Linked DNA regions of Callithrix jacchus. The protein of the gene in region 2 interacts with the protein of the main gene of each other region in a pairwise test. Links are inferred from orthologs where the notes say so. Each region holds a gene or a part of one and is shown on either strand. Other genes may lie near its edges.

Evidence for each region.
Region 1: the proteins of UBE2E2 (region 2) and ZNRF1 interact in a two-hybrid assay, tested with the Homo sapiens proteins (2 studies listed by BioGRID and IntAct). The link is inferred for Callithrix jacchus from reciprocal best matches to the Homo sapiens genes UBE2E2 and ZNRF1.
Region 3: the proteins of UBE2E2 (region 2) and RNF103 interact in a two-hybrid assay, tested with the Homo sapiens proteins (2 studies listed by BioGRID). The link is inferred for Callithrix jacchus from reciprocal best matches to the Homo sapiens genes UBE2E2 and RNF103.

The regions. Positions count from the first base shown.
Region 1 is NC_133521.1:32,359,201-32,364,455, reverse strand, and holds the start of ZNRF1 (E3 ubiquitin-protein ligase ZNRF1), read right to left. Parts: upstream 3,601-5,255; 5' UTR 2,947-3,600; coding exon 2,523-2,946; intron 1,809-2,522; exon of another isoform or gene 1,594-1,808; intron 1-1,593. UniProt on the Homo sapiens protein: E3 ubiquitin-protein ligase that plays a role in different processes including cell differentiation, receptor recycling or regulation of inflammation. Mediates the ubiquitination of AKT1 and GLUL, thereby playing a role in neuron cells differentiation.
Region 2 is NC_133518.1:61,544,132-61,549,330, reverse strand, and holds part of UBE2E2 (ubiquitin-conjugating enzyme E2 E2), read right to left. Parts: intron 2,065-5,199; 5' UTR 2,057-2,064; coding exon 1,881-2,056; intron 1-1,880.
Region 3 is NC_133515.1:26,365,496-26,370,694, forward strand, and holds part of RNF103 (E3 ubiquitin-protein ligase RNF103), read left to right. Parts: intron 1-1,561; coding exon 1,562-1,701; intron 1,702-5,199. UniProt on the Homo sapiens protein: Acts as an E2-dependent E3 ubiquitin-protein ligase, probably involved in the ER-associated protein degradation pathway.

The DNA.
Region 1 (5,255 bases), on a different chromosome or scaffold from region 2:
TCTAAGAAGGCCTCATTTACACTGAACTCCCCCACGTATTTCACTGACAACTGTTTTCTGTGCCCATGAAGAGTTGCAAGAGCACCTTGAAAACACAAGCAAAAGCATCACATATCAATTTCCAGGCATCTAATCAATTGTGCACCGAAATCCTTACCCTTCTAATCTTATAACACAAGAGCAAAAGCTGCTTAGACCTTACACAAAGGCTCCAAAGCAAAAACAAATTTTGCTTCTTGCAGTAATGAAGAACAGAGGAAACAGACATCCTGGAAGAGCCCATGATCTGTTCCAGGTGAGATGGAACCACTGCTGCACATGAAGGTTCATCTCAAATGAACTGCACTGAAAAAGCTAATTACTTTATCGGATAATAGAATAAATCCCTAAAAGCAGCGGTTCTTAATCAGAGTGGTACCATCCATTCCCCAAAGGGCATTTGGGAGTTCCTGGGGACATTTTGGGGTGACACACTGAACTGCTGGATGCTGTCAGCATTAGTAGGTGGGGCCAGGTATGCTCAATGTCTTGCAGAAGGACATGATGGTCCTACACAGTAAAGAATGGATTACCTACAATATTAATAGCAGCCACCCATACACACTTTCAACACTCTCCCTAAAAGACTAATATGCTCCAACTTTCATGTATCCCCACAGGTCAGTGGCTCTCCCTATCCTTACCATAACCGGATGAAAGAACTTAAGATTTCACAGCTTAGGATCGAAATTTTGGAATCCAATTATAAGTTCATAACTCTAGCATGGAACCTGGTGGCAGCATAAGAATAAGTAAATACTTAGTAAGAAAAATAAAAATAAATAATAAATAATAAATAAATAATCATTAAAAAAATAAAAAATTTTAGTAAGAGACAGACTTAAGAAATTTTAGCAAAAAAAAGAACCCCCCCAACACACAAAATTCTGTAATTTTAGAGACACTTCTTATAGTGCTTTTCAGTTCAAAACCAGATACTCATTACAGTTCTTTTAAACACTTAACCAGTCATCTTAAAAATATGGCTAACTCTCTGGACTAAATTTCATAGGAAATATTATTAATTTCAAAACGCCTAATTCTGATCAAATGCCTCAAAGAGCCAAAGGCAATCAAGTCTTGCATCTCACTCAGGGCAGAGTTCGATGAGGTCAGAAAAGCTCCAATGATATCCAGAAGTCTGTTCAGAGATTAAAATACCCTAACAATTCACAAGCTACTTCTAAGTGTTACCCTAAATTAATCACTAATACAGCTACTCCCCCAACACTATTTCACAAATTAAAGTTTATAGAATTAACAAAAAACCAAACCAAATTAAAAAAAAAACCCAGGCTATTTATAGGGGAGGGGGGAGATAACCCAAAAGTCAACCCTGTTTCACAGTGGCTAAAACAGTGATCCAACTGATATTATCCTCCATAAAGTACCCTAAAGGCAGGAGAAATCTTTCCCCCACACAACATCTAAATTTTCCCAACTTACCCAAAAGAATTTGAAAATGTAACTTCTTCACTCAACTTGCCAATTAGTAAATAGCAGTCCCACACCTCTTTTGACCAATTTTCTAGAAGCCTGACCTAGCAGACAAACCTGTTTTCCTCCTGCCAGGTCTTTTCTGTCCCGCCAGTAGGAATCTGGGAAATCCCCCTCCAACCTTTCGCTGGCTTGTCACCAGAAGTTCATAAAATGAATTCATCCAGATTCTTTGAATCCTCCTTTTCCCCAGTCATGTGCCAACTATCAGGCAACAATGCCCCACCTTGACCGGCTCCTTGTTACAAAAACATGCAGATTCACAGGAAGACCAAGCACTTAGCATGAAGCAGAAGAAAAAAGATGGAGGGAGGTGAGAGTCGTGGAGCCAAGCCTGCTGCATGCAGCATGGGTGACCGGAGCCCTGGTCCTGCAAAGCCCCCGCGAGCTTGGCTGGCTGGGCCCTCCATACAGCAGCCACACCTGTCTATGCCAGCCGCCTGCCGACTGCTCCATTTTAAACATTTCAAACAGATCTCCAGCACGGTGGCAAAACTGGGCACCTCTCTCTCCCAGCAAGAGTGAGAGCCCTAATCCAGGCATCACTTGCCCCTAATTTTATTTCATTTTCACACTCTGTTTAGGAGACACTGCTTGCTCCAACTGGCTCCAGCTCTCCGTTACCAGTGAGGCAGGCACAGTGCTGCAGTGGCAGAATGGAAGCACCAAGGCTGACATGCTATCAGCCAGACAAAACCTCTTCACTGAGGGTGATGACAATAAATGGGACTCTAATTGGCAGGCTTCGCTCTGCCCTTCCACAAGTGAACACACGCCGGGAGTCCTAAAACGCCAGGCTCCGCAGCCTTACAGAAAGCCTCGCTTCCAGAAGGTAGGTATCCCATTCATCCCTTGGCATCGGGAACCAAATGGAAGGCAGGCAGTTCCCGGTCGTGCACTACATTCCCAAACCTTGGCACGCACGCGAAGGCTTGGGGCGCCCTGGTACGCCCTCCCTCCGAGGCCTCCACCACCCGCGGACTCACCACTGTGCGAGCTGAACCACCTGGGTCCGATGTGCAGAGGTAGAGCATCCGCCAGCGAGGCTCGGGAGCCCAGGTACAGCATCCCGTCTCTATGGTGACCGCCGCCCGTCTCCTGGTAACCATTGCCATGGGCATAGGTGGAGTCGGACGTGGACCCTCCGCCGCCGGGAGCCCTCTCGGAGTCGCCGGTGCCCCGGGAGGCAGGGGTGTAGAGGCCAAAGGGCACCCCCCCGGCGGTGCTGGGGTCCATGCCCATGCCTGCCACCGAGCTGACCGAGCGGCTGCGCAGCCCCATGGCCCCGCCGCCCGTCCGGTAGTGCCCGAAATGGGGCGCCCCTCCCGGCGGCGGCACGGCGCTGTCATCGGTGGAGACGCCCGGAAAGGGTCCCCGGGAGCGGGCCGCCGTGCTCTGCTTGCCCCCCATGCTTGCCCGAGCCCCGGTGGGGCGGGAACCTGGAGGCCGAGACCCTCCCCCACTTCTCAGCAGCGGGGGGAGGGCTGGGCGAGCATAAAGGGGGAAGGAGTCAAAAAGGAGACCCGAAGGGAGAAAAGGAAAAAAAGCAAAAGAAAAAAGGAAAAAACGGCGGGGCGGAAGAGGCGGGCGGGCGGGGATCCCAAACTCAGAATTTCAAACGATCCAAGCCAAATGCATGTTTCCCCTCAAGGTCCAAAGAGGCGCAGTCCGGCGCGGGCTCCGCGCGCCACAGGCCGCCCCCGGGCTCCGAAAGCCAGGGGGAGCCGCAGGGAAGGAGGGAGGGAGGCGACTGCGAGCGGCGGGCGGGCGCGGGGAGGCGCCGGAGGAGGCCGCCAGCCCCGCGGGAGGAGGCGGAGGAGGGCCGGGGGCGCCAGGCGCGTCCCCCGCCTCAGGACGCCGCGACCATGGACGGCGGCCCGGATACCTCCAGGCCTCGGGCTGGCCGCGGCGCTGGGCGGCCAGGCGCAGCAGGGGAAGCCGCGGTCGCGTCGCGTCGCGTCGCGTCGCGCTCTCGCTCCAGCAGCCCGCCGGCCCGGCCAGCCGCGCCGCCCAGCTCCGTCCCGGGCAGCGCTCGCCGGCGCTCCTCGCCGCCGTGGAGACAATGGAGGGCGGTAGAGCGCAGGCGCGACCCGCGCCTCTCCCTCCCCCCCGCCGGGTTAACCCTTTCGCGGCCCCTGCGGCGCCCCAGCCGCTGACGCCCTAGCGGTTCCCACCCACCGCCCGCCCCCGGCTGGCCTGTAACCTGGGCGGCCTGAGGCACTGGGCGTTAGCCTCAGAAACCAGCCGTCTTTAAAAAGCAAACCCTTCTTAAGTCCCAGAAAGTGGCTAATTATTCAAGGGGAACCGCGCATGGGGGAGGAGCGGCAATGGTTCGAGGGGTGGGAAGGAAACACCGGGAAGGAGATTTACTCCCTACGCCTACCTGACTCTGAGGGTCACCGGTTGAGCTCCCCTCCTGGCACAAATTTGCCCCTACAGCACCCTCTGGTGGACGTGCTGTCCATTCTTTAGGGGGTTCCCTATCCAAGCACCCCTCTCGTCCGGAATCTCAACATTTGGCGGGGTTTAGCTGTTTGGGGGTAAACAGCGCCATGGGGACACTTGTGAATCCGGGGTTTTGCTGACACGAGGTCAGAACTTCCTATTTGGGGCTTAAGCAAATGAGTAGATTCCTTAACTAAAATGTAATTTTCAAAATCAATAGGTGTACCATAAAAAGTGAATAGATATGGACATGGAAATACAACAATGCAGCTAAAAGTGATTATAGAAACCTTCGGTCCAAGGCTGGAGCCCTGTGTTTGTTTACCATGGGCAGTGTTTTGGCCCACACCACAGGCCAAGGACACGTTGACCAAGGCTGCATCATTTTGCAAGGGAGTATTCCTTTGCTACCTCAGTCCCTGTCTTTCTCCTACATCCACATTCATTCATTTAAGAATTGTTTTTCTTTTTCTTTTTTTTTTTTTCTTTGAGACGGAGCCTTGCTCTGCCGCCCACGCTGGACAACCTCTGCCTTCCAGGTTCAAGCGATTATCCTGCCTCACCCTCCCGAGTAAAAAAAAGTCTTGTTAGAAATTTGAAAATCAGGCCAGGTACAGTGGCTCAGGCTTGTAATCCCAGTACTCTGGGAGGCCAAGGCGCGGGAGCGGGGGGAAATCACCGGAGACCAGCCTTGTAAACATGGTGAAACCCCATCTCTACTAAAAAGAAAAGAAAAAAAGCCAGGCATGGTAGCTCACACCTGTAATCTTACCTACTCGGGTAGCTGAGGCAGGAGAATGGCTTGAACCCAGGAGGCAGAGGTTGCAATGAACCAAGATCACATCACTGCACTCCAGACTGGGCAACAGAGTGAGACTCCATCTCAAAATATACACAATATATATGTATATACTAGTATATTGTGTGTATATGTGTGTATACACACAATAGTATATATATGTGTGTGTGTGTGTATATATATATATAAAATAAAGATGGGAGTTTATATAAAATAGGGAAACTCCCATCTTTACTATGTATATACACACACATATATAGCAAAGATGGGAGTTTCCCTATTTTGCCCAGGCAGGAACTCCTGGCCTTAAGCGGTCCTTCCACTTTGGCCTCCCAAGTGCTGGGATTACATCGTGAGTAACTGTGACTGCTGAACAACTATTTGTCAAGTGCTAGGTGCTGGCCGTATCATGAAGTCCCTGGCTTAACTGACTTCCACCTATTAAATGACCCCAGATACTTCTAAAGCAGGGGTA
Region 2 (5,199 bases):
ACTTATCACCCAAGAAATATGATTCTGAGGTATTTTATAGTGGTGCTCCCAGGTAGGGGAAAAGGCAGAGCCTCTCCAAAACAGGTGACTTTGCTAACTAGCAGTCATAGAACAAAGCATAGGCCCAGCAGAACCCTATTCCCCACAGACCTGGCCAACCAGTCCTTACCCTTTTCTGACAGACTAAAGACGCTCAGGACTGAATTAGATTTTCCTAAACTACATGTAATTACGATCTGTACCTGAACATCTACCCACCCACATCAACCTCCTCCTTTCATCTAAATGTCCTATTTTCTCTATTCCCCACCTTTTTTATCCATCCTAACCCCACCCTCCATTTCCCAGGTCACCTCTAAGCAGCTTATTTGTGTTGTGGTCAGGCAATACAAGAGTCAGGTAGCTGAGTCCCTCGTACTTGCGGTGTGATGGCAAAACAAACTGAGCCCTCTTCCCTACCCTAGCATGTTCTAGCATACAGGACTAAAAGTTTAAATTCAGGGCTTTCACACAGCTCCTTCGATAGAGGTCAGGGATCAGCAATACACTCCCAGGAAAGGGAAACAGAATACTCTAGTACCTTTAAATAACCTTTCACCATCCCTCCAACATCTCTCACCAAGGAATCTGAGAAGGTTCTTTCCAACCCTATTGATTGGCTAAGCCAAAGGGAAACAAGGTCTACTAAACTATAATAATGCTTTATTTTATTTTATTTTATTTTTTGAAGCAGAGTCTCGCCGTATCGCTAGGCTACAGTACAGTGGTACAATCCCGGCTCACTGAAACTTCTGTTTTCTGGTTTCAAGCAATTCTCCTGCCTCAGCCTTCCAGGTAGCTAGGACTACAGGTGCACGCCATCAGGCCCAGCTAATTTTTTTGTATTGTTTTAGTGGAGAGGGGGTTTCACCATGTTGGCCATGATGGTCTCAATCTATTGACCTCTTGATCCACCCACCTCAGCCTCCTAAAGTGCTGGGATTACAGGCTTGAGCCACTGCACCTGGCCCAATAATGTTTTTTTTTTTTATCTTTGAGAAAGGAGTTCCCCTTAATCCACATCATACAATAACATATAAAGCTGTAATTCAACATTCTGACATTCCACTATGCCTAAAAGTTAGACTACTTTTATTTGTACTTCCTATTCGATCAATATAAAACATACAATAACAAAGCAAGAACATAAAATCACAGAATCAGGAAAGACACTATATTTATCTTTCAAATTATTTTCCAAGAGATATTCTATAATGTAACAATATCAAAACAGATTCCCTTTAAGTCCAATGACATGTCAATTATCTTAAGAGACTGATGTACCAACAGAAAATCATTCAAATACCTACTTTCCAGATCCATCTATTCCTCTAGAGAAAGAGAAACTGTGTATCAAGACAGACCCACTGACTAATGTAATGAAACCAAGATGCACTTGTTGCTAATGTCAGCATTTCTGACTTTACCAACTGAGAGTAGTGGAAAATAAACTATCATTCACTCAATAACTACTTCAATAGATTCTTAATCTCTATTCTGTGTTACTGAACAGGAAAAAAAAATTTATGGTCAAGTAACTGTAAATGAAACCACTGCAATTTTACATGCACATCCTGTATATGCTTCCTTAATGATACACAAAAACACAAACATACTATGGATATGTATTTTATGAATCTGCCATGCCATTTAACTGACTTTAAATACTTAAGTTCCCTATGGTTAAAACCATGTAAAAAAGATCGTCTGTAAGGGGAAAGAAAAATCCATGAAGTTCATGGCTTAAATATCCCGGAAAAAATGATTAAATGCAAAAGAAAAGTAGAACTTAAGATGATAAACTGATACCAAAAATAAAAAGGTTACAATAACTGAGGTACCTTTTAGCACTAGTTGACAACTTAGCAGCGGTTTTGCTGGATATTTTTCCCTCCTTTTTCTTGGGCTGAACTTGTTCTCTTTCTGGTTCTTGCTGAACACTTTCACGTTGATCTCCATCGGAACTTCCTCCACTAGTGCTTGGACTGTCATCAACTCTTTGTGCCTCAGTGGACATTTTAGATCCTAGATTAAAGAATCAAAAATCATTTATTCCGCTGTGAGGAGAATTACAGTACGCTACTTCCATGACACACAGAATGAGCCTCAAAGAAAACAAGTAAATCTCAATATAAAATGGATAAATTGGTCATTTACAAAACAATGCAGTTTTGAGAGTTGCTATAACTTTTCTTTCATCCATTCAAAGTATATTGTAAAATGAAAGCATACAAAATTTATACATGAAATGTTCACAGCGACATTATTCATAATAACCAAAATTGGAAACAACTCAAATATCCACTAAGGGATGAATGGATAAACAAAATGTAGTAGTATATCCACATAATGTACTATTAGCCATAAAAAAGAATGAAGTACAGTGTCTACGTGCTACAAAATGGATGAACCTTGAAACATTATCGTAAGTGAAAGAAGCCAGCCACAAAGGACCACAAACTGTTTGACTATTTATATGAAACGTCCAGACTAGGCAAATCCATAAACACAAAATTCAGTAAGCAGATCTCATGCCTGTAATCCCCAATGCTTTGGGAAGCCCAGGCAGGAACAGCCTGGGCAACATAGTGGGACTCAATCTCTACCAAAAAAAAAAAAAAAAGATTACTATCACTGCATTCCAGCCTGAGTGACAGAGTAATACCCTGTATCAAAGGAAACAAAATTAATAAAAAAAATAAAGAGGGTAAGTGGTTGCCAGGGAGTGAGGGGAGGGAGAGTAGTGAGGATTGACTGCTAATGGGTATGATACTTCCCTTTGGGGTGATATAAATGTTCTTAAATTAGATAATGGTAACATTGCATGATTCTAATTGTAAATATTCTAAGAACTACAGAGTTTTACATTTTTAAAGGGTAAATTTTATGGTATATGAATTACATATAATAATGCTGTTATAAAAAATAGGAAAAAAATGATTAAGGGTCTACTCTCTACCTGGTGCTGTGCTAAGCCCTTTGGTCCTACAACTATGAAAAACCTGGCCCAGTCAACTTGCTAAGTACTAAAACGAAGGTTTGTACAAAAAGCTGTGGGAACAGAAAAATGGGTGGACACTTAAAAATCCCTATTCAAATCAGTACATCCTCAGCACTGGGTTATGGTTAAAATTCTCCAAACTAGTAAATTATTTTAAGTGACCTTTGCAATAACAGATGAACACAAAGGTCTACATGACTGCATGATTCTAAATAAAAACTGAACCGTATGATGGTGTCAGCATTGATTCAGCTGTATACTAAAGCAACCATTTTTCATAAGAGATGGAGACGCTGAAGAATTTTTTTTTTCACAGTCCGGTTAAAATATTCCTCAAGGCTTTCAAATTCCCTCTCCTCTGAGTTCATGCTCCCCGAGCAGCTCTGATTACCAACTCAATTTCCGAAATACCTTGATATTTAGGTAGCTGTTATAACCTAGACAGCAGACACAATTCCTGTAAGTGAAAAGGAATATCTCTTCTCAACTGCCATTCTATCATAATCAATTTCTGAGTTTGATTACTATGAATACATCCCTTATGAGCTAACTAGCTTAGAGTATTCTGACAAATCCAGAACGGAACCAACAAAACCTATGTCCAGACTCTAAAAGGCCTTGTGCTTACCACGGTTTATCACCTAATAATCACTTTGAGCACTGTATAGCTACCTTCTCAGACACCTCTTTGAAAACAAAACTACCTATGCTTAACAAGTACCATTAACACAAAATACACCTTTAAAAATTATAGGTACACTGAACAAATTCCTTTTGAAATGGATTCTTTTGATTAATCAAATTAGAAGTTCAAATAAAACTGTTTCTGATATGATCAAGAATAAGAATACATAAAAATACTTCAAATAAAGCAAAAATTTTAATTACTATAATTTAGTCCAAATAGATAGCTATTTGACACTAATTAAAATTCATCATTAACAAAGATTTAACTTGTAGCTTGCTCTAAGCAAAAGCAATGTTGTAACATGGATCTTTAATGGATTGAAATTTTTATAAGACAAATCAGAAAGCAATGAAAAGAATGGAAGCATCAGGAAGCATAGAGAGGCAAAGAGTCAAAAGAAAACAGTGAATGCTTTCACTGACACACCACATACACCACCACCAGCACCCCTTCAACTACAACAGCTCCCCATGCCAAACAAAAACAGGTCTGCCCCAACAGTTCTGAAACACACTAACGGAAAAGCTGACTACTTTTCTACCTATTCTGTAAATGAAGAGCATCAGTCTCTACAGCTGTGACATCTTTTATGAGCACTAAAGTCACTTAATAGAATGCTGAAATTTTATATCAGTATGTTTCACCGCTAGCTCTAAAAATCGTAACATATTTCTTGCTTTTTTTCAGTTTTATTTCACTCTAAATTCTTATTCTTGGATTTAACATTGTTTTTCTTTCACCTTACTTCTTTCAGTTAAATTTTATCAGATGTTTGAAACCTTGAAAGTATGTACATAATAGCATATCAGATAGGGTGGCATGCATGGGAGTGAAAAAGAGAACAATACTCAGGGAAAGGTGCTCAGATACAGCAAAATGCTGCCAGCAATACCTTAAGAATTGTGAAATGAGACATCATTTTATACATTTTAAACCACAAGCAATCCATTACATGACAAATATATGGGAACCTCAATGAAATAATATTCTCTACACTGAGGCTGCAGCTTCAGTTTAATAAAGTAAGATTTAATAAACTATGCTGAGAGTTTCAGTTGTGTATCACATTAGTTATAAAGCCACACATTCTTCTTAATATTCTTATTTATGTGCATTTACATACTATCAAATAATGCCATAGTTACATAATTCCTTATAAAGATTACTCAATGATACGATCTGAGCCATAATGTGAAACCCAAATTTCATAAACTACTGCCAAATATCAAAGGAAGCCTGAAGTAAAAATTAGTCTCACTAGAGAACTAATAAAAATACTATTAAAAATGCCCCAAAAGAGGCATAATTTCTAGTTTTACATTAAGGAAAAGAATTATTTCCACTTTTGACTTAAGATATCTTATTTCATCCAAATGTTAACCTACAAATGATGAATCCATCTCAGGCCACTGATAACCACTATGGGAACTTTTAGAAATAGTTTTCACATCTCTTTTTCAAATATTACTAA
Region 3 (5,199 bases), on a different chromosome or scaffold from region 2:
CTTGGATGTAAAAAAAATTTTTGTCTTCTGTGTCACAGTCACCCTTGCATCGTTTAATGGGTTGAGAAATAGAAGTGAAATAGTGCTGAGAGAATATTAAAGTCTTAATGTGCTTTTAGTAATTGTTGGTCTTGGTACCATTGGGTGAGAAATATGGTTAATTTTTTTAACTGCTGTACAAAGTATATCTTTGGATATGCTTCCTGAAAGCAGAATGTAATTTGAGAAAGGCTTTCTGGGTTGCTGTAGGAAGCAGTTGAAAGTGATGGTTATCTTTTTTGTTGTTTCAGGTATTTCTGTCAGCTGTGTCTTTTACAAGACAAATCTTTTCCTTCTTTAGTACTCTATAGACATGTAGTGTGATAGACAAGAATATGAGCTTACTAGTAGTTTAACACTTGGATATTTGTAGGTTTCAGATTATAAAACTCATATCTCACTATTAAGGTAGAGGAGAGGAACCCACTCTGCACAAGTGATAAATGTTTCTTGAGAGAAAATATAAAATCATGTATTATTCTTGCCCCTTGTTTACTGACTGGTTTGTGGTGATTCTTATTTCTACTCCAGGGGGAAGAAATGGAGTAACTAGAATAAGAGCTCTAATAAATAAACTCGCTTGGTTTAGAGATGAGAAGTGTCTTAACTGCCAAAACCAAATTATTTTTTTTATGGAAAATAGTTTGATCACACATATTTTTTTCTTTTGACTGCTATTTATTATTGCCTTCTTTTGGGCCTGCAAATACTTGGCATTTTGAATGTATTAGGAGTCCACATATAACTTAAAGATGCACAGCCCACAAAAGTATGACTCAAATCACACACTTTATGGCAGAAAACTCATGGTATGGCAGTTTAACTGTAAGATATGTGAATGGTTTTGCTGCTATCATGCTGCAGTGCTTGGCTTCTCACTGTTTCATATTAAGGTGAAAGTTAAAATAATTTGACCTTAGTGGTTTTTTTTCCTTTTGTTTAATGGTACATTTAATGTTAATTTGTTTAATGATACAAATTTGCACGTAAATTTGTATATGAATGTGGAGTTTGTTCTAACAGGTAAAGTTCTAACCTCCAAGTCACACAAATCCTGTTGCTCTTTTAAGCAGGGCTGATGACAAATTCTGTGAACCCAATTCTAAATCTTTTAAATAAGAAGCATATAAGTCATACTGTTTAAAAATGTGTATGAAGCCTGGATATGTCATACACAAAGCTAAATAATTAATAAGGTGATGCCTTTTTGGACTGGTACAAATTCAGTAATTTCCTAATAATTATGTGATAATCCCACTAAAATGTAAGCCCTGTTCTATAAAAGACGGATTTTTGTCTATTTTGTTCACTTTTGCCTGACACACAGTAAGTTCTTACTACATACTTACTGAATGTATGACTCTTAAGTGAGTACACTCAGGTTCTACTAGTAGTTCTTGTCTCTAGAATACAATTGAAAGTAAAATAACATGATTCTTAACAGTGTAAAAAATGGAATTACTGAAATTGGGAATCTAGGATTTTTGCAACCTTATTAGTATTATTATTTTCCTTTCTTCAGGTGACTTGATGGAGGGTGAGCTCTATTCTGCTCTCAAGGAAGAAGAAGCATCCGAATCTGTTTCTAGTACCAATTTCAGTGGTGAGATGCACTTCTATGAGCTTGTAGAAGACACAAAAGATGGCATCTGGCTGGTTCAGGTATGAAAAGCAGTGATAGTTCTTGATAATTTGAGAACCTTAAAAAAATTGTTTTTACTAAATAGTATATAGGAGCCAGTGACATTTTCGTGTACTTATGTCTTGTTTCTCACACATAACTCAGTTCTCTTAGGGAGGCTCTAGTATCTTCTTAAAAAGGTTTTGGAGACTGAGGAAAATGAAGATTGAGTAGTGGGAAAGAGAAAGTTGGGATGGGGGTCAACTTTTTGTTTAGAATCCGGAGAAGCAAATCTATTTTAATTATTGGACCTCGCTGAATTGAGAAATACACATATATATCCCTTTTATTTGGTGATTTACTCTGTTTCTCTTGGTTTTTATCTCCAGTTTTTAATTCAGTGACTTGATTAATTTTTCTATATAAGAAGTAGCCAACTTTGTGACCATGTGGAAAATGGTGGGGGTGCTCATTATGTAACTCATGGTGATGAGATTATACTTTTTAACCTTTTTATACACCTGTTTTTATGATAGCAAAACTGTGAGACTTAATTAGCATATTAGAGTTTTAGAGCTATGAAGGACCTTAAAAATATACTTTCCAAGATGTGATTTATTGTAAGTGGAACACATTGTCGTTTACATAGTTTAATGTAAATTAGAAAAATCTATATTATATGAACATGTAAATTTCATAAATATTGCTTAGAACAGGACTAAAGTTACTTATATTTTAAAACTGTGCATTCATTTAAAGTGACATATCAAGTAAATTAACAGCATGAATGTGGCCAAAATTATTAATGTAGTCTGTGAATGGCTGAAGCTTGGAAATTATATCAGACTAACCCTTTCTGAGACTCTGAGAGGTGAAGTATCTTGCCCAAGGTAATGGAACTGGTTGGTAATACTGAACCAGGATGAAATCCCAAGTCTTCTGATTTCTTTTCTGGTACTCTTGTTATTTCACACTGGAGTGGGCAAAGTTTTATTTAGGTCATGAAAATTAAAATAGTTTCTTCATATCTCTTTCTGAATGCAAAGACTGCAGAATATGTTAGAAAAAGCTTCGCGTTCAGAGACCACAGTTGCAGGTCTGGTACTGTCATTGACTAGCAGTATGATTGTGAATGGGTAGATTTTTCTGCTGCACATGGCCTCAGATAAATACATATACATCTAAAGAGGATAGAATAGTACAGTAGTCCACTGTGCTAAAGGGTTGAGATTTGGGAATTCTTCCAGAGATTACATTGTTTATCCATGGCCTTTCTTTATTGTAACCTTCCTATTGATTTGTTCTTTTACCTTCCAGATAATCTAATTCATTAATTTTTAAGTTCAGCAATGGGAGAGAGAATGGAAGGGTATACATTATCCATTTAAATTTTAGTTTATTTAGTTTATTTTAGTTTAGTTAATTGGAGTTGAAAAATAAGCTGTAGCTTTTTTTAAAGCTTTAATTTATAAGTATATTGTTGTTCTATTTCTTTTCTCTGGTACTCATTTCTCTTTTCTTTTTTCTTTTTATATCTTTTATCTTTTCCTACCCAGATCAAAAGGATCTGGTACTCATTTCTCATAGTCTGATTGAGAAAGACACTGGTTTTGATAATTTAAGATTTTATTACTGAGAATGAGTTGAGTAGCCAGTCCCACTGCCTTGCATTCAGTGTCAGTTTGTCACCCACATTGACTAATCCCATGGAAATAAATGATGAAGATGTTGCACACCTTTGAAACTTGGAAGGGCCATGTCTAAAGTCTTGAGTTCTTTTGCTATCTAGGATGCAGTCTATAGACAACAAATAAATTCTGGTTCAATAGTTAGCAGTATGTTCTTGGCTTGTTAATGATCTACGTTAAAGATACCCATGAATTAAACTCCTGTAATAAATATGTGGCAGAATTCATCAAAAGTTTATTCAGTAGATGTGGGTGTGCCAAGGCCCTGTTCTGGGCCCTGAAGATATACCAGAAACACATACCAAGCTAAGGCCTTGCCCTGCCAGGCAGCTCACATTCCAGTTGGCAAAGGCAGACACCAAATAAATAAATACTTAAGGCCAGGCGCAGTGGCTCACCCCTGTGATCCCAGCACTTTGGGAGGCTGAGGTGGGCAGATCATGAGGTCAGGAGATCGAGACCATCCTGGCCAACGTGGTGAAACTCCGTCTCTACTAAAATGTAAAAAATTAGCCAGGTTTAGTGGTACATGCCTGTAGTCCCAGCTACTTGAGAGGCTAAGGCAGGGGAATCACTTGAACCTGGGAGGTGGAGATTGCAGTGAGCTGAGATTGTGCCACTACACTCTAGCCTGGCAACAGAGTGAGACTCCATCTCCAAAAAATAAATAAGTAAATATTTACTATGACATTAGTCAGTGGAAAGTACTAGGAAGAAAAATAAGCAGATTAAGGAAATGAGAGTGTCAAGGAATTCTCTGGTAAGGTAACACTTGAATGAAGAACAAATAATGATAATAAATGGTACACATTCTAGTTGCTAAATTATTTTCCTCTGAAAATATTTTTAAACCTTATAGGTATTGATAGTTGAAAAACGACTCTCAAGAAAAAGAGAATGTATTTCTATGGTTTTCTGTGTATGGAAATGATGCAATAGGACACCTACTTAATTTTACCAGTGACGCTCAAGGTTTGCTGTCTGGCTTGAGTTCCTTGGGGCCGGTGGCTTATAATTGTCAAATGGCTTATATCTGTCAACTGACCACCACTGTCTGGCTTGTGTTCCTTGGGGCCGGTGGCTTATATCTGTCAAATGGCTGGCCTAGTCTGAAACAACAATCTCTGGCAGGACAACTGAGAAGAGTGAGATTGAAACCCTGTCCTTGGCACTGTGAACTAACCACGTAAGCTAATCAGCACAGCTACCCTGGTTTAAGCTCTTAAAAGAGGGTTGTATTTTTTTAAGCTATGTTTAACATTGAAAATATCTACTAGAAACAGAAGAGAAATATTGTCTCCATTGCTTGCCATTCTTTCAGCTCAGATCATATATTTTAATCTATGGTAAGGGATAACTTTCAAGATTCAATTTTTAACAATTTGAATTGTTGTCCTTTTCTGTTTACAGTAGTCCCCCCTTATCTGAGGGGCATACCTTCCAAGATCCCCAGTGGATGCCTGAATCATGAATAGTACCAAATCCTACATATACTATGTTTTTACTTATGTATGTATACCTGTGATAAAGTTTAATGTATAGGTTAGGCACAGTAACAACAACAACTAATAATAAAATAGAACAATTATAACAATATACTGAAATAACTTTTATGTAAATGTAGTTACTTGCTTTCTGAATATCTAATTGTATGTAGTATTTTTGGACTGCAGTTGACTGCAGAAAGTGAAACTGAGGATAAGGGGAGGCTACTGTATTTTAGAAGAAGCTGACTAATTTGTTCTCTGTCATTTAAGTCTATGAGGAGTGTTTTCATAGATAAAGATGCACAGATGCCAGCCAGTTCAGTCCTCTTCACATTTTCAAGTTTTTCTAGGTCCATTCTACATA